Caenorhabditis elegans: one gene and its partner. The protein of the gene in region 1 interacts with the protein of each later gene in a pairwise test. Each region holds a gene or a part of one and is shown in the gene's direction. Other genes may lie near its edges. The genes, in order: btbd-10 and lin-37.

Region 1 (3,927 bases):
TTGGATGGCCAAATCATATTGTTCCAGGCGGCAATAAGCAGCAGCGCGGTTACAGAAGTAGACTGGATCTCTGTTGAGCTTGATGGCGGCATTGTACTTTTGAACAGCAGCTTCAAATTGGGAGGCTTTCATTAAATCGTTTCCTTCTTCTTTAAGCTTGTTAGCTTGAGAAATATCACTATCGCTCGGTGTTGGAAGAGCAGATTCTCCCTCTGGAAGTCCTTCGGCGCTCTTGAAAAGTTCGAGAATTGGGCGTGATGGTTGGAAAGCGTATGAGGCATCATCAAGACCAAACGAGTGTTCGAGACATTGAATTGCAACTGAAATTTTAATATATCTTAAGCTAAATTTATAGAAATAAATAGGAAAAAACCTTCAAGAGCTTCCGCTTGCTCGGCAGTGGCCTGATTTTGTGAAACCTTCTGGCGGATAAACTGAAGGAATGAGACAACCAAATTTTGCTCGTCTCTGGTCACAATTGGCGAAGCAGTCGGCGCATCTGGAGCAGAAGGCTTGATCTCCTCGGACATTTTCTTAAAAATAAAAATATATTTATTAAATAATTTTATATTGAAGTTAGAAAAGTAATATAAAGTTGAATTGAAAATCCATGATAAAGCGCAGATTAAAATATTCTTAAAAATATATAGTTCAAGAAATAGAAAATGGCATCGCTTAAAAATGGCATTCCGTGATTATTTTCACTCGGGAATCGCTCGCCCACTATGGGGGAGTCTACGCAAGGACAACGCAAGGACAAGGACAACATTCTAATGGAATGGAAACGATTGCCCGACTGCACCAATTCTAGTTCGAGCGAACAATGATAACTTTTGTATTCTATATTCCTTCACGTCTCCCAGCGAGCGTAATAAATTATTATTATTATTAAAAAAAAAGAGTATTAATTTTAAATGCTTAACTTAAAATCTGAATTTAAGCGCTCTATTTGCGAAATTTGGTCAATGAAGAGTGAAATATTGTAACGAGAATAAAATTGAAAAGTTTTTGAACAACGAAGAGTAAAATTAAAGATTGCAACGTCATTTTATTTCAGAATCAGTGCAAAAATTTCTGGAAATTGCGGGAATAATTTCATCAGCCTCAAAGGCACATGTCGGCCGTCACTTTGATGTGTCTCGCCACGAAAGTAAACCAAGTTCAACTGAAGAGACGGCAGACAACTTGACAGAAAAGTTGCAGCAGCGCGTAGAGTGTATTGTAAAGTTGAGAGAGTGCTAGAGAAAAAAAAAGAAGCGAGAAGCTGACTGGTGGCCCCAGGTCTCCTTCCAAAAGCCACTCATTTCCCTCTGTCGACACCCGTCAACTTAAATTTTTTGGGGCCAGAGACGTCTGGGTACCAAAAGTTTTATTTCAAGCTTGTTTTATTCGTTTTTGTTTCAAAAAAAAAGTGTGATAGTCAGGAGAACGCTGCTGTGAAATTTGTTGTTTCTGTAAAAAATGAAAAAAACAAATTGAAATCAAGCAAATTTTAATTTATTTGTTCGCAAAGTCCTTTTTCACTATGTTCCAAGCTTTCTTTTACCCAAATTTTCCGTTCGAAATGTGTTTTTTAAATGAAAACTTGTTCAAATTTGCGGAATTTTGAAAATACTTGTATTTGAATAATATTTACCCAGCCATTCTGCCTGTCATTCTTATTTTATACTGTTCAACTCCTCCCAAACTTTCACTATCTGTTTCCTAAATAAATAAAACTATATAAAATTTCGCACATTTTCAGTAATTAAACTGTCACTCTTATCATCTTCTTCGTCTTCCACCATTCTACAACATGTCTCAATCGGAAGAACAGAACAAAGACATTCCATCATCTTCAAATTTTGGAAACCCAGCAAATAATGGCGTTAATGTGCCAGATGCTCCTGCGCGACGACTCTTCGATAACACTTCTGACGAATCTGATGTTTCACTGGATAATGATGGTAAGAATTCGAATTTTTCATTCAGATTGAATAAAAATCAATAATTTATTTTTTTCAGACAAAACCGGGGCTGAAACTGACGGTTCCTCTTCAAGTCGTGGATGTCTGAAGAGCGAGAGATCTCGCAAAGATCATGCCAGCACGTCATCAACAAGAACTGTTCGTGCACCACAGCAGGTAATATATTTGTTTTTTTAATAAAAATTATCAAAAAAAAACGATATGAAGACATAAAAACCATGAAAAGTCGATAAAAATACCACAAAAGTTTTAAGTTACAGTAATTTTTAAAGGCGCACACCCGTAAATGCGGTTCTCGGTATCGACACGACAGTGTTTCGTAGATAACAAACAAGTGTGCGCCTTTAAAAAGTACAGTATTTTCAATCTCTCGCTCCTGCAGAATTTTTTATCAATTTTTTCTACTTTTTCTCACGATTCGTTAATATTTATGTGTTTATATTGTTATTTTTGGTATAAGAAACATTTTTTCGCAAAAAAACTATGAAATAAATTAACTTTAAAGCGCACACTTGTTCGTATTTCACAGAAATGTATTTTTGAGGAAAAATTGCAAACTAAAATTAAAAATTTCCGCTTTTCACCGCAATAATTCTAAAAATAGCCTCTAAATCTCATTTTTCCAGGTTTCTTGGTCATTTGGAGCTAAACCTGCGACTCCACACTCTCAACCGCCTGCCGGACTCAAAAAAGGTAAATTTCCGTTTCTTTTCTTGTTTTTGTGTGTCCCTCGTCATTGTGACGTAAATTGCTCTACGAAATTGGAAGAAAATCACTATTTCCGGCTCGTTCACCTTTTGGCAGAAGAAAAACGCTCTTTTTTTCTTCACATATGTTTTTAATGTTTAAACAAACACATATTTGCTTATTGACTCCAGATTTTTCAATCTCCAAACATCCGATCATTACAAATCGGCTTAGAGTTTTAGAAAATAACCAAAAAAGCAATTCTGCACCTGCTCAAGGCTATAATTCGTTTCTAAATTTGGATATCTGTGCAAATTATTAATAATTTCTTTTCTACTTTTCCCCACGAGATGAAAGTAACATTTTCGGATAATGGTGAGTCAAAGCTCAAAAACATCCTTTTAGTCTGATTGGGATTTAGTTGGATTTGAAAATTTAAACACGAGATTAGTTTTCTGAAAATGTGAAGACTTTTAACATTGATGTTATCTATTTTATTTCAATTTTAAATGACTTTTGTATTACATACAACGAGTCTTTGTCCTGTAAAAATGCTTTTTATTGGCGTTGAATGACATTTGACCATCTGACAAATAATCATAGATTCATAAAAAGATGAATAATAATTCTGAATTCTCGATTTTGTTTTTCTTTCGTTTGTGAACTGAAAGTTGAGTTATCTAGATCCTTTTCTATTGGGCAAAAAGTGCAAAGAGGAAAAAGCGAAGACCAAGAAGAAAATGAAAACAATTTAGAAAAGTGAACAGGTGGTCGAATGTTGCCAACTGTCCCTCTCTCCGTTTTCTTAACTTTCTTCATTTTTTCATATCTCCATCCATCGCCGAATTATTATTTACGTCATGATGACACCTCAAGGGTTCGGATTTCAAAATAAAAAGTTTCAAGAGTCATGTGGAAAAGTTGTGAATGTTTTGATGGACTCTGTGGACCATCTTCTCTGGGGTTTTCGCATCCCCAAACGACTTGGCACTTCATAATTTTGAAAAAGTGTAATTAGAATTTTGTTTATAGTCCCATACCGTAGTTTTTGCTTTAAAATGCCAAAAAAAAATTAGCTGGCGTGGTTTCTCATTTTGGAGAAAATTCAAGTGGAAACCCTAAATCATTTTTGTAATTCTACTTTTCAAGTGAGAAAAAGTTCATCTTTGTCATAAGGATTCTCCCTTGACTTGCAGCCGTTTGCAACTTCATCACAGATACTTTAAAATGTATGACCTTGCCCACTTTTATAGCTAGAACTCTACCAAAAATA
Region 2 (3,927 bases), on another chromosome or scaffold:
CCACCGGGATCACCTGCATCTCCAGGAGCATGGTCTGGCTCCAATAGCTCGTTGATCTTTATGCCATCTTCTACTCAAGCACCGGAACATTATGCTATTCCATCCGTTTCCAATGTTTTGATGTTTCGTAAAATGGAACACATTTTCTACAGCTCGGAATCCAACTGGTGGTTGCTCGTGGCACTGGTGATGCTCACAATTTTTGCGTACCGCTCTTCTATGGAACAACACACTTGCTATTACGATTGATGATTATGATTATAAAGATCTTTTTATTTGTAAATTATTTGTTTTAATACGAATTCGAAAAGTCTGCCATATGATAGAAAGTCCTATTCAAACTTCGCGCGTAAATGGTTCTCAATAAAGCGCGGTTGCACTACTCTTTTTTTGTCGCTCTTCGTCAACTTCTGGTAGCGTGAGCCCTTCAAATATCATCATTCAAATGCCCATTTTATCGATTTTATTGAATTTTAGTTATTTTAAATCCAATGATTATTCTCAAAATGAATTTCATAATCATCGGCTGGTGTTTTTGAAGGTTTCTAGTGTGTCCAAACGAAATTTATAGTCCTAAAATATTAACATTCAGTAATTCATAATTGCTTAAGAATTAAAAATTACCTTCTTTGTTCCTTGATATCAAGTATATAGTTTTAATATTAATTCAATATCTTTCAGGTAAGCTAAATCTACAAAATGTCATTTTTCCATTTCATCAATTGCTTCGCGTTGGCATTTGCACCATATTTTATTGTCTACAAATACTCAGGTAATATTTTTTATGGGAAGTCAATGAAACACCACTATTTTTATAGGAATTAACGAATACAGTTCCATCTGGAAATGTGCAACTGCTAGTGGTGGATATTTGCTGACACAACTCGCCAAACTGCTTATCATTGCCACATTTTTCCCAGCCCTCGACAGTGAAGGATTCAGTATTGTGCCGGTATGTAATTAATTTTTCTATTCAAAATTGGAGCTATAAATAACGTTTCAATGAAAATCATTTTAATTCAAGTTTTAAGTGAAATTTACCATAAACCCATCCTCGCCGGACATAATCCTTCGGACACTTCAAACTTATTGATTTTGGTTTTCATTGCCAATCTCAGAATCATTGCAGGAATTCCTAAAAAGCAGTGCTGACATCATCGATGTCATTGGGCTTCACCTTCTGATGACCAACTTCTTAGCCGGAAAAGGAGAAGTTCGATTCGTTGTCGGTGGTCTTGGCTGGGGATTCGCTCATTCTGTTGCTCATCGTCTTGTTCTTTTATGGGTTGGAGCTCGTGGAACCGCTTTCACATGGCGTTGGGTTCAGGTGATCAAATCTTCCTTTTTTCTGAAAAAAAGATAATATTATATTTTCAGACATCTCTTGATTCCTCAGCTGATCTATTGGTTATTGTGTCTCTCGCCTGCCTTACATGGATGATCACCCGCACTCCAAACAAGTTCTTGGTGTCACCGATCCTTGCGATGTGTGTCTTCTCAACATTCGTTTATCAGTAAGTATTGGTTTTACTAGTCAAAAAATGTAAATTTTTTTTTATTTCAGAACCGTTCAACACACATTCTCTCTCTACGGATGGTCTCTCTTGGCATTCCGCTTTGCCTACTCCATCGCAACAGCAATTCTCACCGTCGTTGTCTATTCGGCAAACCGGACAGCGTCCACAAGAAAGAACGAGTAGCAACACATATTCTGCTATAATTCACTTTTTGTCAGTTTCAATACTATCTTAGATTCTTTCAGAATTTATATATTTATTCGAAATTTTCTTCTCTCCTTGTTCATGTTTATACAAGTACCCAAAAATATTTATTGTTTAATTTAATAACTGCTTCAAAAATTGTCGTCCTTATATTTACTCTACAATTTTTATCTCTTTTTATTAAAGGTTAAATACCTTTATTACTTTGGCAAGTATTCGCTGTTCACTGTCCAAATAATGTATTCCTCTCCAATTCTAGATGTCAGAAATAGATCCACTTGCCGAGTTCTTGCTTCCAGAAGACGGAGATCGAAATGCTCGTCAAAATGATCCATTGATAAGCGGAGGTCCACTTCCATTGGAATCGCCAAGCAGAAAACTCACGTAATACTTTCTAAACTTGAAACAATTGTGCTACTCAAGATGCTTCCAGATCCCTGTTATCCTATGATCCGACAGTTCCGGAGTCACCGGATATGAAATTCGCCAGAAAACGTCTGGGAAATCTGCTGACAACCATAAAACATCACCCATCGGAAATAATTGGAGTACTCCCAGAAGATTATACGTAAGTGATAAAATGGAAAATTTCAATTCTTGTTTAATTTTCGGCAGAGTATACCATGCCTGGGGCGAAAAATCATTTTTTTTTTGGTTTTGATTTTGTATCAAAAAGCAAAAATATGTAAAAAAGCCAAAAAAAAATTGGAGATTGAATTTTAAACCTTAATATTTGAGAAAAAGAATTAAAAACTATGCAGAGCCACATTTAGTTTGAAAGAAAAGTAAAATAAATTTTGTACACAGAAAACGTTTACAGTAAATACAGCATTTTTTTTCAGTTTTTTGGTTCCAGATAAATAGTTAATTTTTGTCAAATGTCGCGTCCTGGAATATACATAACAGAAAAAAATTTAGACAATGTGGACCTTTTTGTTTTTCGTAATATAAATTTTAGACATAATTGAAAAATTAGAGTTTCCATTGCATTTTTTATAATTTCAGTCGTGCTGATGAAGAGCCCGGGCGCCAAGGACGTCCACCAGGTCGCCCTCGTAAGATGCCGCGTCACGAATCTTCAACTTCACTTATGGAATCACCACGCAAGACTATGACTCGTGATTCTAAAATTATGTTTGAATTGCGTGGAAAACCATTCGAAATGATAGCTGGACGTTTTGAAGAAGAATATTCACTTGGTAGAGCATGGGTTAAAGGACACATGAATAATGAATATGAACCAATAAAAGCTCAAAGGACAGACTATGCACCGAATCTGGCTGTTGTGAGTGGGAAAGATTAAATGAAAAATGTTATAATTATTTCCTTCAGGATTATCTTGCATGTCGCGAGATTCATCGAATGCCACGTCCAGATAAATCAATTCCTGAGCTGCCAATTGTTCCATCTAGAATCGATGAATTCGACGCTACAGTCGATCCAAGATATGAAACAGATTTGAAAAATGAATACATTCGTCATTGGAAACAAGTCAAAAAAGGGTAACACTTCTTCTGCCATTGAAAATTTCCGTAAAAATTTATTTCTTAAAGTATTACGGTAACTGTGCTCTATGTTAGAATTTCATTTGTCGAATTTTGTATCAAACTATAAAATAAAAAATATTGTACTAGCAATCTGTGATCACTACTATTTCTTCAAAGTCAGAGAATCCAAAAAAAAAAATTTCAGTTGGTGTGCTCATCAACGTCGTCGGACTGCTCCCCATGCAAGAAGCATAGCATTAATCAACAAAATCTACCAGCCTGGAGAGTCGAAAACTGTCGAGCAAGCACTTGGTCTTATTTAAATATTCTAACATGTAATTTCAATTTATCTCTTACTTTCTGATCTTGCTATCACATGTCTCTTATTTCAAAAATCTCACTTTAAAATTCATATAAATAATGGGTTTATTCAAATACATCATCTTGACAATTGTTTTTTCAACGTTTTTCTTCCACTTTTTGGAGATTTTCCTGAAGTTTTCTCGAGCTCGTCAGCTACTTTTTCTTGTTGAATCTTGTTAATATATTTTGCAACTTCTCGTTCGGCAGTTTTCATCAAAGCTTCTATAGCGAATACAGTCTGAAATAGAAATATTTTGAGAATATTCAGATTTTTGAATTTTCACTTGAAATCCACTAAAAATCACAATCATTGTGTAGAAAACGTATTCAAGTGGGAGATTCAGAAAAGAGCCATT

Evidence for each region.
Region 2: the proteins of btbd-10 (region 1) and lin-37 interact in a two-hybrid assay, tested with the Caenorhabditis elegans proteins (3 studies listed by BioGRID).

What each region holds. Positions count from the first base shown.
Region 1 is NC_003280.10:4,903,264-4,907,190, forward strand, and holds the start of btbd-10 (BTB domain-containing protein), read left to right. Parts: upstream 1-1,744; 5' UTR 1,745-1,795; coding exon 1,796-1,946; intron 1,947-2,004; coding exon 2,005-2,123; intron 2,124-2,591; exon of another isoform or gene 2,592-2,593; coding exon 2,594-2,660; intron 2,661-2,896; coding exon of another isoform or gene 2,897-2,976; intron 2,977-3,927. Other genes in the region: sgt-1 (SGTA homodimerization domain-containing protein), read right to left, coding at 1-320, 374-530.
Region 2 is NC_003281.10:7,070,606-7,074,532, reverse strand, and holds lin-37 (uncharacterized protein), read left to right. Parts: upstream 1-1,980; coding exon 1,981-2,105; intron 2,106-2,154; coding exon 2,155-2,289; intron 2,290-2,726; coding exon 2,727-3,006; intron 3,007-3,053; coding exon 3,054-3,223; intron 3,224-3,413; coding exon 3,414-3,531; 3' UTR 3,532-3,643; downstream 3,644-3,927. Other genes in the region: ZK418.13 (Pollen-specific leucine-rich repeat extensin-like protein 1), read left to right, coding at 1-249; ZK418.5 (BOS complex subunit TMEM147), read left to right, coding at 700-772, 819-952, 1,130-1,327, 1,378-1,514, 1,565-1,700; tmem-17 (transmembrane 17 domain-containing protein), read right to left, coding at 3,648-3,809, 3,877-3,927.